2 linked regions of the Oreochromis niloticus genome follow. The protein of the gene in region 2 binds, or shares a complex with, the protein of the main gene of each other region. Links are inferred from orthologs where the notes say so. Each region holds a gene or a part of one and is shown on either strand. Other genes may lie near its edges.

Region 1 (7,463 bases), on a different chromosome or scaffold from region 2:
ATGTAAGATTAACCTCCCAAAATTTCTTCTCAGACTTCTTAAACAAGTTTCTGAAGCACTAACTTTGCTCTCTCATCGTCACAGAATTTGGCAAGAATGTGCAGCAGTGGCAAGAAGCTGGATGTTGCAGAGTGTGCAAAGTCATCATCTTAACTACCCTGGAATATGTGATGTGGCTGTTTCTACTTTTGTTCTTCTAAACCGCTCGTAACCACTAAAGTTTTCCTTTTTTGTAAGATAAAGCAATCTGTGTTTTTCTTGAAACAAAATATCGCATCGTTTCATTTTTACTCATATTAGTAAATAAAAGCACAAGCCAATTAGCCATCATTAAAACTACTTGTTTAGTATTGTGTGGTTTAAACCACCAAAAAACAAAAAAACAAAAGCTGTGACCTGTAGTGACATTGATGCCAGACATTTGGCAGTGGCTCATTTGGATCCTGTCAGCACAGTATGGGCTTTCAGTCCCATGGAAATTGACTGGCTTGTTCCAGTGCATCCTGTGAATGCTGTTTCAGATTGGGATCTGGAGAGATCAGGAAAAAACTTTGTGTATGTGTGTTCTTGAACCCTTCCTGAGCAGTTTCAGGGAGTGCTGTTGCCATTACAGGATGTGCTTGCTTCTGTGCTCTGCAACAGAATTTATGTGGGTAGTACCTTTCAGAAATCCACACGAATGGTAGAACCTGTAAGTGTTACTCACTTATCCTTGTTTTAATGTTTTGGCTTATCAGTTTGTGCAGTATAGTATAACCCAATAAACATACTGTATTGTACCATAAGAGTCTGTGCTTTGTTTATTTCAGTTAACATGAAGGAACTTTAAGTTGAATATTGCGTATGTTTTTTTTGTTTGTTTTTTCTGGAACTTTTTTTTTTTAAATTTTCAAAGCAGTTTTTCACATGATTTGTCAGTTTACAATTACCAGTTAAACCTAACGTGCACAGAACATGCTACATGAAGGAGCCAGAAGCTTCTTCCTGTGAGAGCAGCAACAAAGTCAAGTTGTAATACAAATGCTTTACACACAAATATGTAAAAAATACTTTTACATTTTTACCTGTTTTGTAACAGTCTTACATGTCCCAGAAGTGGCCCGTATGTGCTAGTCAATACTTCAAAGAACAACCATTGTATAACAAATACAATGGTTGTTCTTGATGAGTCTGCCTGTATCAACCCTACACCATGAGGCAAGTAACAAGAGTCTGAAGGTCTGCTTTTACTGGGAGGTAAAAACCTCAGGCCTCAACTCCTCCACAAAGAGGAGGGAAGACAGTGGCACATTGCAGCTCCTAAGTGCAAACGGGTATAGGGGAAGGCATGAGGAAAATCCCAATGAGTTTCTGGTCTCAGCTACAGGGAGTCTGCACTCTCAACCCCAGGTGCAAAGTCCTTTCTATATGCCTGTGCCTCCTCTGTAAACACAAGATCATGGGAGACCTTTTGGGTACCCAGTGTGGGCTGTGAATCCAGACCAGTTTGCTGCAGGACTGTAAAACTTTAAAACTTTTGCATCTGGCAAGGTTGTCATGCCCTCTGTAGTATCTTTTGCCAGAGCTTATGTGTATGTATTTGGCATGTATGTACTTGGGGTTTTTAGTGTTTGGTAGGACAAGAAATGTCCAAGATTCATTTTTCTTGTGTCATTCTAACTAATGACATAATTAGCTACTTGAAACATATTTATCAGCATCTATATATTGATATTTGTTTTCAATTAAGGTTGTAATGTTCCTGTCATGTTTGCAAAGAAATGGGAGCAACAAGCTCAAAAACCCACCCAGGACAGCATGAATAAATTCATCAGAATGGATTTTAAGATTTTAAGAAATGATATTTTTCTTGCCTCTTAATAAGGTATAATGTAAGTGGTTATTGACTGAGACTTGGGGAAACAACCATAGCGATGGAAGTCACACACTCACGAGAGAGATTCATATATTTTGTACCTTTGGAGTACATACGATTTTGTGAGAGACATCTTGAGATTTTTACTTTCTTAGTGGAAGGGGAAACATTGGTGTAAAAGGCGTACTCTGAAAATGTGGACTTGAATTCATTAACAACCAGCTGCAGTACTCTGGACAGCTTCACGGGTACCAATCGACGTACGGTAAATGCAGGGGGGAAAAGTATTTCTCAGGATCTCGCAAAAGTACGTGCACCACGCCCCCCTTCAAAATGTCTCTTGCGTGGCTCCGTACCGTAGGCAACAGCGTCACCGATCACTTGTGTGTGTGTGTGTGTGTGTGTGTGTGGGGGGGGGACACTTTACCGAAACAGGTAGACAGCAACATGACATTAACAGTTACAGAAGAACACGTCTACAGTAAAATGCATACATAAATAAATATAAATAAAGTCATCATGAAAATACCACGAGTTGTTGATTAAAAATATATAATAATATATGAAATATATATGAATATATAAAATACGAAATAAAAATGAATTACATTACAGGGAAATCAAACACTGTTAGGGCCTTTGGTGATTTCTTATTTTTCAACTTAACCCGCTTGTCTGTTTTCTCCAGTCCGGTCAGAAATTTGACCACTGTTGGGTCTCGGCGTGACTCGTGATTTAGACACCTGTAAGTACTGCGCACGCCGCCCTCCCTTTGGACCAATCACGGCCTTTATGTCACTTGCTGAGGCTGAGGCAGGAAGAAAAGAAGAGCTCTCACTCCGTCACTATTCCCAGAAATCACAAAGAGCGGGGTCTCTCCCACTCGTATTATAATGATTACAGCAGTAGCTTCTAAAACAGGGGTCTTGAACTCCAGTCCTCGAGGGCCGGTGTCCTGAAACTTTTCCATGTGTCCCTGTTGCAACACACCTAATTACAATTAGTAGTTCATTAGCAAGACTCCATAGAACTCCAGAAACCTTGGAGTCATTTTTGACCAGGACATGTCCTTCAACGCACATATTAAACAAATATGTAAGACTGCTTTCTTCCATTTGCGCAACATCTCTAAAATTAGAAATATCCTGTCTCAGAGTGATGCTGAAAAACTAGTTCATGCATTTATTACTTCCAGGCTGGACTACTGTAATTCATTATTATCAGGAAGTCCTAAAAACTCGCTGAAAAGCCTTCAGCTAATCCAAAATGCTGCAGCAAGAGTCCTGACAGGGACTAGAAAGAGAGAGCATATTTCTCCTGTTTTGGCTTCCCTTCATTGGCTTCCTGTTAAATCCAGAATTGAATTCAAAATCCTGCTCCTCACACACAAGGTCTTAAATAATCAGGCCCCATCTTATCTTAATGACCTTGTAGTACCATATCACCCTATTAGAGCACTTCGCTCTTGCACTGCAGGCCTACTTGTTGTTCCTAGAGTATTTAAAAGTAGAATGGGAGGCAGAGCCTTCAGTTTTCAGGCCCCTCTTCTGTGGAACCAACTTCCAGTTTGGATTCGGGAGACAGACACTATCTCTACTTTCAAGATTAGGCTTAAAACTTTCCTTTTTGCTAAAGCATATAGTTAGGGCTGGACCAGGTGACCCTGAATCCTCCCTTAGTTATGCTGCAATAGACGTAGGCTGCCGGGGATTCCCATGATGCATTGAGTTTTTCCCTTCCAGTCACCTTTCTCACTCACTATGTGCTAATAGACCTCTCTGCATCGAATCATATCTGTTATTAATCTCTGTCTCTCTTCCACAGCATGTCTTTCATCCTGTTTTCCTTCTTTCACCCCAACCGGTCGCAGCAGATGGCCGCCCCTCCCTGAGCCTGGTTCTGCCGGAGGTTTCTTCCTGTTAAAAGGGAGTTTTTCCTTCCCACTGTCGCCAAAGTGCTTGCTCATAGGGGGTCATATGATTGTTGGGTTTTTCTCTGTATTTATTATTGTGCTATCTACTGTACAATATAAAGCGCCTTGAGGCGACTTTTGTTGTGATTTGGCGCTATATAAATAAAATTGAATTGAATTGAATTGAACATAACTGCATGCTGAGGTGGCAATTCAGCCAGATTCATGTTACAGATGCTCGTGAGTGAATGAACACGGTGCAATAAAAGTAAATTTTTCCAAACACTTACATTTACTTAAATTTACTTGAGTAAGGTTAGGGGTTGCCACTTCAACATGCAGTTAAGTTCTATACTAATTTCATTCAGGTGTGTTGCAACAAGGACACATGGAAAAGTTTCAGGACACCGGCCCTCGGGCACTGGAGTTCGAGACCCCTGTTCTAAAACGTTAACACAGAAATATTTGTTTTTCAATAAGCTGGCATGAAATCTCTCCGCATTGTTTATTGAAGCTTTGGGAAAAGTCTCCGAAGTTGATCGGGAGTGAAACAATTCCCTCCGCTGGGATTGGGAGCTAGCTCTAATAGACGATCTTTGGTCGTAGGTTCCTCTTGCCCTTCCTGTTCACTCACAACAACAGTGATGGCGGCTGCTGCTCGGCTCTTCATTCGAGGTGCAAACTCGAAACTTTCCATCGCCCCCAGCTCTTTAGGGGTCACGCTGCTAAAACTGTCGCCGAACTGCAGCTCCCGCACAAAAACACAACGAAGGCATGCGACGCACTTTACCTTCCAGCCCGACCCCGTCCCGTCTCAGTACGGTGAGTGTCTGGCTAACCGGCTAACATGGGGGAGCGGGTCGTGTTGGATACCGCTGGAATGTTCCTCAGTCCAACCGAGAAATAAGCACAGAAACGAGCTGTCACCGTGAATTACACAATGTATGGTTAAAGGAAACAGCTGCACGTGGGGTTTTTTGTTTACTTGTTAAGTCAGCACAGAGCAGTGTCGGGTACTTCCACCGCACTATCAGCACGGGCTTGCATTAAAGTGTGCTTGGAATAATAAATATTTATTTTCACACAATAGTTCGGTTATTCAGTAACAGAGCCAGATAAACTTTATTTTTATTATGACATAAGTGGGCTGGCCAGGTTAACACTAAAATGCGAGACAGAAGCTGATCATCCGTGTGGCACACTGCTAGGAGTCCACAGAAGGTAAATGGCACTGTTTGCTGTCCCAGAGCTACTTTGGCTTTTCAGACTAATCTGGCCTTTTTGTCCATGGGCATGATCACTGGTTTGTACTGCTGTATTTGCTCTTAGGAAGACTAAATAGCCATGAAAACAGGCTTAGATAACGGTATACTTACCACCTTCATCTTTACTTTTCCATTGTTGTGAAGCTGTCCTCATCATGGAAAAGATCCTTCTGTATTATCATTTCCTCTGTGGACGGCCAGGCTCACCAGTGTGTTGTTGGTGTTTTTTTTTTTTTTAATTATTATTATCATTATTTTATTTTAGAATAAACCAAAATGGTGATTTGGTCATTTTATGTTTAATGTAGTCTCTTTGTTTTGGCCCCCCAAAGGATGCTCTGTTTCACTTACACTTACTTAAAAGCTCCTGCATCTTGTGGGTTCATAGCCACAGCGTCCATACGACTTCTTGCAATCAGGTCCAGTCTTTTTACCTGGTTAATGAATGCTGAAATAAAAAAGCAATAGCACACATCATTGCATAACACAGCCCTTGACTTATTTGTCGCTGGACAGGCGAAAGATTCCTGGTTTGATTCTGGGAGGAGACGCTGTCTCTTGGCTCAGGAAGGGTATCTGGTGTAAAACTGAGAAAATGAAACATTCAAAGCTACCTGCTGTGAATAAGGAAGTAGCTAAAAATGTATTCATCTTTTCCTTGTAGTGTGATCTAATTCCAGGCTCTAAGCTGATTCTATAATATACTCTTACTCGATCCAGAATCACAACACGGTACTAAAAATTATAGGTGGGAATCACCTGACACCCCTCAATACAGTATTATCACAATATTTTAATCTGATGTTAATGTGAATTTTTTTTAACATGTTGCAATAAGCTCAAAACATAAAGTGCAATTTCACATTGTTTCAACTGCAAATTATGTTCTCAGAGTTAAACTCTTAAACTTTGCAATTCAATGAGGTCAAGCTGGCAATACAGCAATATAATACAGCAATTAACTACTATAAATCCTTATAAATCACATATCTGTTGTTGTCTGTATAGACAGAAGGTCGAATTTAACTACTCCATTTGTGCTTTCCTGTTCTGTAGGAATACAACCAAAATACAACCAGCTGGTAGCCAGTTGGCTCGAGTCCTTTCGAGTTGTGCTCATTGATAAACATTCATTCAGATTGATGGCAACATGGTGGCAGTCTGTCTGCGTTTATAAATTAAACAGCATTTATTTGCAAACCTTCGACAACCTCTCTGAGAATGATTGCAGTTGGTTCGAGTCAGACTGCAACTGTTCTGTTGAGGCCTAGTCGTGTTCAACAGTCCAAATGCAGAGTGCACAAAAACCATTAAGATATTTGCATTTTTTATGTGTGAAGTTCTTCATTTTTTTAATTTAATTGGTTCACCTAAAGGTCCTACCCAGAAGATGAACTTGTTCCAGTCCATTACGAGTGCCTTGGACAACACTCTGGCCAGCGATCCTACCGCAGGTAAAAAGCAAGCAGACACACTCTGTAAACCTCCAGGCTGCCTAACAATCATGAAAGTATGAATCAAGCTGTCCAAGACACCAGTTATTGGAAATCTAAAAAATTCAAAGTGGCTTAATCGAAAGAGTTTTCAGTATTTTTCACTCTTGCATACTTGAGCACTCATGTTGCTGACTGTTGTTTCTCTGCAGTCATCTTTGGGGAAGATGTCGCCTTTGGTGGAGTGTTCCGATGCACAGTGGGGCTGAGGGACAAATATGGTAAGATGCTGCTTTCTAGTTTAACGCTGGCTTTAAAACAAATGAGATTTACCTGATTTGAGCGACGCATACCAATGCACGGCATCAAAAAAAATCATAACATTTTTTTTTTTTCTTTTTTCAAAGTTGTTCTTGGTTGGTATAAGGTGACCAGGAACATAATTTTGAGCTGTCTTAAGTCAGCCTTTTTCCTCATTGACGTTTGCTTGTTTTGGCAAGGAAACCAGTGAAGTTCAGGCAGCTGAACAATGGGTGCTCTGTCCTTGTTCCCTTAGTCAGCATTGTGAAGTATTGAGTAACCGTTCTTTTTCTCTCTGTTTCTACTCCATTGTTTAAAGGTTTTTCACCTTGACAATTACAATCACGAGCATCATGGAAAATCATCTCAAAAAGAACCCTGTTGTAGTCTTGGAAATAGTGCAAAGTCCGCTAAATCTTACACTCTGTGACTAAAGACTGGGTTGTATGGTAGACATTAACAATCCCTCTCAAAAGTGACACCTGAATAGTTGGAAGAAAAAAAAAATTGTTAGGAACCTGTAGTCTGTGTAATTTTCGCCACTAGATGGCAGCAAAACACTGCTGAGAATCTCACCACCCACTGCTCTTCGGAGGGGCCTGTTACTGCCGAGCGTTCACCCAGAGGACCAGCATGATCTACTGGCACACGTGTCAGTCGTTGTAGGGGAAGCCTTACGAGCTGATATAGTATGAAGC
Region 2 (8,038 bases):
CATTCTTACCAGCTTCTCTGTATTGCCCAAAAACCAGATCGTTTGGATCCAGAGCAGCAGCACTGCCGATGTGTGTCCCCTCCTCACCATAGTTAGTCATGTAGAAGGAGATGCGACCCTGTAACGGACAGGGCTGGGCGGTTAATCAGACTGTAATCTCAAGTATTATGAAAACAAAGTAAGTGGCGAAAAAATATTTACTTTTTCCATTAATTTTACCTGAAACCTTTGTGTTTTGCTGTTATAAATCAAGTGCACCTCTGTCTTTTACAACTGTTTGGTGTTCTCCCTTCATAAAAACTAAAAATCACTTGCTGTTTAGTTCAGCTCAAGCCAAGATGACTAAAAGATCTGGAGGAAATAAAACTACCTGCTTGTGTCACAGGATCACTGAAGGGCTCTCGCTGGATTTCGTTCAGTAATCAGCAACAGTTGGCCTTTCAGTCAAAAACACTCCCTAGTCCTGTGTCCTCCAGAACTCCTCATTTTTATGTATTCATTTTTAATTTTAAATTATAGTTAATATAAAGGAGTCCTGCAGCAGACTGGCGACCTGTCCAGGGTGTACCCTGCCTCTCGCCCTAAAACAGTGGATAGGCGGAAATGAATGAATGAATGAATGGATAAAGAAAATACCCTTTGAGACACCAATTTTTAAAGTTCAAAAACTGCTGGTGTTGTGTTTTAAATAATCAGGTTGAGCCAGGAGATGCAGGAGGAAACATACCTGTCTTTGAGACTCATAAAGAATGCGGTCCATTGTGTTCAGCAGGGTCATCTTCTGATAAAAGTTCAAAACTGTCTCTTTGGAGAGCTGTGTTGGAGAGAAACACACAATTGACAAATTAACTTTGGCTCAACAGACTGCAGAGGTCTTAGGGGCACATTTGGGAACCAGGAGCACAGGCAGGCTGATTGTACCTGAGGGTCTTGAGAGGGGTTGATGATATTTCCCTGCCTGTCCATCACCCGGTACACTGGGATCCCAGAAATGACATTGGGCTGGATGAACTCGAGCTGATCCACAAACTCGGCTGAGGCTCCTGGAAACTGGGGCTTTTCCAGCGATGAGTCAAAGGGCTGCTGCAGCTGAACAACCTGAAAAGATTGATTACAATCATTATTTATTAAGAATCTCATTGTGGCTGTGGCAAAAAAAAGGCTCTAGGAAAAGAAAACACTGCATATCAGGTCACAAAACTCATACAAACTGTCAAGCACGGTGGTGGAGGGGTGATTTGAGCTTTTTTTGCAGCCACACAGCCGTGAACTCTTCTGTATACCAAAGTATTCTAGAGTCAAATGTGAGGCCATGTGTCTGACAACCACTGGGTCATGCAACTGGATAATACTAAGCAGAGCAGCAAATCTACAGCAGGATAGCTGAAAAAAAGGTGTTCCAACGTCCCAGTGACCTTTAACCTGACTGAGATTCTGTGGTAGGACCTTATGAGAGGTGTGCACAAACAACTTACCTGAATTTATTTTGTTAATAATATTTTTTGTATTTGTGTTGCTTCGTTGTATTTTGCTCTTTTCCCCCCCCACGGGTTTGTCCACCAGCACTTTGAACTGAATTAATAAACTGCATAAAAATGGAATTAAAAATTAAGTTTCATTGATTGATTATTAGTTTTAGTTTTATTTTTTTCAAAAGGCTAGTTTCTAATTTTAGGTAACCTTTTTAACATCTAGTTTAAGCTTTTAGTTTTGTTTTAGTTAACTACAATAACACTCGTTGAATCTTTAGACATTTTAGAAAGCTTAACTTCAGAAAGCTGAAGACAATACAATACTCTTATAAATCATGAATAAGTATGTACTTCTTACAGTGCAGTTCCATTGCTCCACTATAACAACCATTTCCAAATCTCCCTCCCATACAGATTTTAGACACTCCAAATGATTATTGATGGACCTATAAATAAATAAATTAGATTATTTTTAAAGAGTTACATACAGATTTAAGTGCTGGAGCGATCGAAGGAAATAAAATAGCAGCGAAGGCCATAGAGCAGCAACAGTTATTAAATAAAGTTGTTTTGAAAAAATGATGCATTCGAGGACATCGGATTTAAGCTTAATGCAGTTTGGATGCAAACTGCATTTCGTTGCCCTGTACCTGTGACATGTGCAATGACAATAAAGTTGAATTCTATTCTATTCTATTTCCTCCTTCACGCCCCTTGGTTCGACCAATGGAAAAGAAGCTAGCTAAGCCTTTAGCCGGTTGGCTAACTAGTCAAGTGTGAGAGTCAAAACAACAAAAATTAAAATTAGTATTTATTGCAACTAAAGTTGTTTATTAAAGATCAAACATGTATTCACTAAATATGTGAGAGTTAGTTTGACTTTTCACTGATACATTGGAGAATCGGTATAGAATTTCAGCAAGGTTGTTAGCCATGCTAGCAGCTCCGTAGCTAACCAGAATCTTTGCGCAAACAAGACATAACCCCAAAACTTATTAAAAGATAGGGTGACAATATTTCGAATTCCAAAAAAGAGGACACTTGGCCCAATCATGAAGAACTATAATAATACTGTTTGCTTAAAGAAAACTGTGCGGTTAATGAATGGTGAAATAAAAAATGTTTCCCGGCCCCTCAATGGCAGCGTTATCTCCAGTCCAGACTCCGCAGGAGCGACTTTTCCCATAATTTATTCATCGCCCTATCCAAACACTGCATCGGAGTTTTCACTTACAGTGACCCTGAAGCCTCTGCGCTGCAGCAGTCGAGATGCCTTCAGTCCTGCTGTCTGGCGGACAGCGTGGAAACAGAGCCCATACATTTTGCTCATGCTGCTCACAGCCGCCATCGGCACTCAGTAGTTGTTTGATTTAACCGCCGCTGCACACCGGTTTAGAGAAGTTACACTGTGGTGGATATGTAAAAATCTGGCCAACGGAACTGCTAATAACCACCGCTCGCTGTCCTTCCTGTTTACATCCACAGTTTACAGGCCGATAGCCGCAAACTGACTGCACCATTAAAGCCGGCTACAGTATCCTCAACATCCGGCCAGGCCTTCAAAATAAAACCTTAAGTTTAGTTGTCCGTTTTTACATATTTCATAAGTTGAAGAAATGAGCGATTAAAGATGTCGAGATTTAACACTCTTTTGTGTTAGAATAGCAATAATAAATAAATAAATAAATAAATAAATAATGCGTGGGTTTTCCAGAAAGGCAGAGTGCCAGTTTTATGAATTAAAGCTCCCCCTCCCAGTCGGGGAATTAACCTGATGAAAGTCCATTGTGTGATACTGACCTGTTAATTAAAATACTGTCACTATGTTATATGCGTCACGAAGCGCCTTGGTCGTTTTCCGGTGGCCTTTTTGGGGCGATTTTAACTTATCAAAATCAGTATTGCCTATTTTAAGACACATTGCCTGCTCAGACACAGCAACGCAGTCACATTAACAACAAACGACAGTTATTACAATGTGATATATAATACATCTTACAAAAAGAAGTAAAAGTAAAAAAAAAAAAATGAATGAAAAATTGCGCATGTGTCTTTTTGGACATACAGATCAGCTGTAACATGCCTGAAACAGTTTGTAATAAAACAGCGTTCCTCTAACGAACTCTACCTGAGATGTCAGTTATACCTAAGTTAGAGAGTCAGGGGCAGATATGCAATAGGAAAGAAAGAAAAAGAGAGAAGGGAGGATAGAGCCGTAAGCAGTATGGAAAAACTGATGAACACAAGTGTTCTTAAATACAGTCATAAAAGAACGATTTCTACGTCCTTTCAACCCTACCAAAAATTAAACCCTACTCTGCTGCCATCTTGTGGTCACAGTGCAGTAGTGCATTAATAGCAAAAGCAACGTCAGTGGCATGCACAGTAAAGAATATTATTACTTCCAGTCCCGATGATAAACCAAGTAATATCGCAGGTAGAGGCGTTGACATATTAAAATAAAGTATTTCAACTACTTGTCAAAATCTGAAAATGTCTTCGCTTCAGTTCTGAGCTAACTGATGTTGTAAATGCAGACTGCAGATAAATCAATTTTTGCAGCCACGAGTATTTATCGCCATCTAGTGGTGATAGCGCGAGCTGCAACATGGTGATTGCAATTCACATCATGCCAGTGAAAGCTCACCTGTGGAAAGCAGTAAATAAACTGATGTAGATAAAATTCCGGTGGGTGGTTATGACGAATAATGAAAAAAAAAAAAGAGAAGAAAATGATAGGTTGACACCGTTGTGTTTAAATGCAGCTGCTGCCTGCCATCTGGCGGTCATTGTGAGTAACTACACATTGTTAAACTCACAGTTTACACTATTATACGGATGCTGCACTTCCGGTACTTTCAAAATACATTAAACGTATTAAGGCAAAGTAGGGCTTCAGATTGCGTCAGGAAAACGTGAATTATGATGAAAAAATATTATTTTTTTCTTCGTTGTCATAGATATATATTACAGATCCACATTTCTTGTGAATTAACTATTTATTAAAGCTAACATTTCTTTCTCATTCTGATGTCATCAGTAAGGAGCGTAAACTACAGGGAAAACAGATGACGCCATCCGCCTGCGACAAATCTGCTTTCTCCACGATGGAGGTCTGCGGCTCCCTGACTGTTTCTTTGAGAGAGTTTGGTTGTGAACAGAGCTTGCTGTCTCGACCTGATGGCTCTGCTTCCTTCGTCCAAGGTAACACTAATTTTAGAAACTATTTATCTGGGCGTTTATTTGCCTCTTACCGCTAAACTGGACTTAAAAGACGGAGAAAGGTTAGGGAACATCTCTGGAAATTAACCTGCCACTTCAGTTACTGACATGACTTTCTTTACCTTTATGAATAAGAATAAAAGTAAAACATGCTGGGGGGGTATTGTTAATCAGGCATAATATTTACCTTTTCGCAAAACTGGTAATCTTATTTATACATATTTATATCTCGGGGTTTTAACATGCTTCGATGTGATTATGCAAATGTAATATAAGAAATATTGAACTATTTGTCAAAATAATGTAACGATGAGAATCAGGAGCGCATCTATTGTGGTGGTATGGGGTGGCATGGGGTGGCATGTGCCATCTTACCTTTGTATATGACAATGTTGTTTATTAAAATAAGGTAGCATTAACTTTGAGCCTAGCTACAACTAATTAATAAAATAAAATACATTTATTGCATAGTGTTAACCGCCCTCCAGGGGCGGATCTACTGTGCACATTTTGAATCAACACCATGGACATTTCAGATTTCAACACTTCTCTGGAGGCTTCCAAGTCACATGACCAATTTAAGATGACATAGCAACAAGATGCAGTCTCCATTTAATTTTCATTTTTGTTGAAAGTTCAAACTATGTACCAAGAAAAGTTAAAAAACTGCATTTTCTAATAACAGCGCGAAAAAAACCCACCACTTTCCTATTGGTGGAAAAATGTACCATATTGACCAATCAAAAAAAATTATCTGGCAACATGTGACATTTGTGTTTTGGGGAAAAGGGGAGAGCAATTCTACAGTCATTGGATGTGAGAGATTTGTGACATTTAACGTGTTTGGAGTGTGTAGTTAATGTAAAGTTAGTGTGTTGTGTAGTTCTTTGTTTTGTTTTTATGTGTCAAAACAATGAGGACACTAGTGATTGTCACAGTTGCTGCCAAAAGCCATCAAAGGCAGATTGCAGCGTAAACGCTGTCTCCAGGTGAAAAACAGTGATACGCATACTGTTGTTAGACCTGCAGGTTTCAGGTCTGTGATGTGCTCCTCTTTCTTGTGGTGGACAGAAACTTTCTTTTGGAGTGGCACAAATAATTTGTGTGGCATCTTATTGTGACACCTGTTCTGTAATTATAGTTTTAGTAGTTGTACAAAAATGTCTGAGGCATTGGCTGCATTATTAGGTAAATAGTTGCATGTATCTTTATTCTTTGCAAGATTTGTGCAGGCGTTTTTAAAATTTACAATTTATATTTGCAATTCTGAAACATTTTGGCGTTTTATTTGTTTTGTTTTTTGTTTTTTACAGTAAAACCTTTTTCCTGCTCAGATTTTTTTGGGGATGTAAATTCAGACATGTGAGATTGTGCTGAAAAGAATGATACCAAACAAGACAAGGCAAATAGTTTTTAAAGGTGAAATGTAAAGGTAAAATTAGTAAGTAGTCAAAAATGGCCAATAATATCCTGGACATCAGAGGGTTAACCTAATAAATCATGAAAAATTGTGGTGAAAACTTTTTCATGACAGTGCAGACTTCTGGCAATTTGTGTAAATTAAAGCCTGTAACAATTTGATTATTTCTAATTTTAAAAAGAGTGTGAAACTAACCGAACTGAACTTCTAACTGAACCATCTCATGTCTTGTACCTCTATGTATTTTATACTTAATGGCCAAATGCCTATTTATTATATAGGCTATACAGTACATCAAATCAAAATGTACATGTTTTATGTAACTGAAATGTTTAATTATTTGGGCTAAAGAAAATAAGAAAGTTACAGACTATGTTTATATGAAATGTGTATACTTACTGCATTTGATGTATTTTAAACATATATAATGTCTGTCACAGAATGTAACACCTATGTGGACAATAAGACCAAGGTTCAGGGCATGGGCATGGGGATGACTCAGTATCCTTCTGTAATTTGTGTTTATACTTTTACCTTTAATATTCAGATTATTACTCCAGAATGATTCAGAGATGAGCCCAGCACCCTGTGTACCCCGCCTCTCGCCCTATGATAGCTGATAATGATAAGCAGAAATGGATGGATGGGCTGATTCAGTGTCTTTAAAAAATGTCTTAAGAATAAATGTGAAATTTACATGATGAGACTTTGTGACATCAGCTTTAGTTCTCTTATTAAAAGCTTGTTCTAAATAGGGTGTCTGCGTTTGAGTCCCCTCTTTAAAAACTACATGTGCTGTGAGCATATTTACTGGGTGTCGTACTGCTTTCAATGATTTGATGTTACTGCTTTTCCCCTCCTAGATGTCTGTTTATGTGGGGAAAGACATCATTAATGCTCCAGTGTTATTTATTGAAAAATGCTCCTTTTTGTTCTTGTTTGAAGGAGACACGAGTGTGATGGCTGGAGTGTACGGACCAGCTGAGGTCAAAGTCAGCAAGGAGATCTATGACCGGGCGACCCTGGAGGTGTTGGTACAGCCCAAAGTGGGGTTGCCAAGTGAGTTTTTCTTTTTAAGGGGTAAAAAATTTCATTATGCAGCGTTGCTTATTTTATTTTAGGGAAATAGACTTTTTGCATCCTGATATCTACAAGAATGTTTCAGAGGTTTCTGCTGTGGAAAAAGCTGCTATACCACAGCTCACCACAGGGTGGGGTACGTGAGCTTTCTGCTCACATTAAGTTTTTTTATACCTCGATTTGTTTGTTTTGTAGGTGTAAGGGAACGATCACAAGAGCAGTGTGTGCGAGAAACCTGTGAGGCTTCTCTGCTCCTGACGCTCCATCCACGCTCCTCGCTCACTCTCATTCTTCAGGTCCTGCATGATGATGGTTCAGTATCCTTCTGTAAAACTCTGCAAGCTTTGGGGTTTATATCCAATCTGCAAGTAGGGTTCTAAAATTGAGATGTTTCCTGTGAGTGTTCTTCCTTACCTGTTCCTCAGCTGCTGTCTTGCTGTTTGAATGCTGCATGTATGGCTCTTATGGATGCAGGATTGCCCATGAGTTGCCTCTTCTGTGGAGTGACTTGTGCCATCAGCACAGATGGGCAAATCATCACAGATCCCACTGCAGCTCAGGAAAAGGTAAATCTAAGGCTTTTATAATGTTGGGTGACCAAATTGATCCCAAAACACTCTGAAAGTGGCTTTTGCCAAATTTCCTAAGAACTTCTCAAACAAATGTCACAGAAAATGTAGATCTTTTTCATCCCACTTTGATATTAAGTGGGCCATACCACTAAAACTCTCTTTTCTATCAGGAAGTTCAATCCTTTGAAATATCTTAATATAAGGAAAAGAAATTTTATTTTAACAGTACGTTTCAGTTTTTCTACATAAAACGATAAAGAAAAGCTGTTGTA

What was found.
Region 1: the proteins of bckdha (region 2) and bckdhb are in contact, whole or in part, in a crystal structure (PDB 1V16), measured with the Homo sapiens proteins. The link is inferred for Oreochromis niloticus from reciprocal best matches to the Homo sapiens genes BCKDHA and BCKDHB. Residues at the interface, in NP_000700.1 of Homo sapiens: Phe155, Leu185, Gly186, Lys187, Arg189, Gln190, Gly196, Cys197, Lys198, Phe202, Val203, Thr204, Ser206, Pro208, Thr211, Pro214, Gln215, Val217, Gly218, Ala219, Tyr221, Ala222, Arg225, Gly244, Asp245, Ala248, Asn251, Phe252, Thr255, Leu256; in NP_000047.1 of Homo sapiens: Pro89, Thr90, Val92, Asp117, Arg118, Phe120, Asn121, Thr122, Pro123, Cys125, Gln127, Gly128, Ile129, Gly131, Phe132, Ile134, Gly135, Ile136, Val138, Thr139, Asp158, Gln159, Asn162, Glu163, Ala165, Tyr167, Arg168, Tyr169, Arg170, Ser171.

The regions. Positions count from the first base shown.
Region 1 is NC_031976.2:14,228,096-14,235,558, forward strand, and holds the start of bckdhb (2-oxoisovalerate dehydrogenase subunit beta, mitochondrial), read left to right. Parts: upstream 1-4,360; 5' UTR 4,361-4,411; coding exon 4,412-4,589; intron 4,590-6,408; coding exon 6,409-6,486; intron 6,487-6,677; coding exon 6,678-6,746; intron 6,747-7,463. Other genes in the region: dual specificity protein kinase Ttk, read left to right, coding at 1-2, 85-153. UniProt on the Homo sapiens protein: Together with BCKDHA forms the heterotetrameric E1 subunit of the mitochondrial branched-chain alpha-ketoacid dehydrogenase (BCKD) complex.
Region 2 is NC_031979.2:33,448,689-33,456,726, forward strand, and holds the start of bckdha (2-oxoisovalerate dehydrogenase subunit alpha, mitochondrial), read right to left. Parts: upstream 3,007-8,038; 5' UTR 2,821-3,006; coding exon 2,707-2,820; intron 1,099-2,706; coding exon 922-1,098; intron 815-921; coding exon 728-814; intron 119-727; coding exon 10-118; intron 1-9. Other genes in the region: exosc5 (exosome complex component RRP46), read left to right, coding at 4,541-4,676, 7,060-7,173, 7,390-7,511, 7,620-7,760. UniProt on the Homo sapiens protein: Together with BCKDHB forms the heterotetrameric E1 subunit of the mitochondrial branched-chain alpha-ketoacid dehydrogenase (BCKD) complex.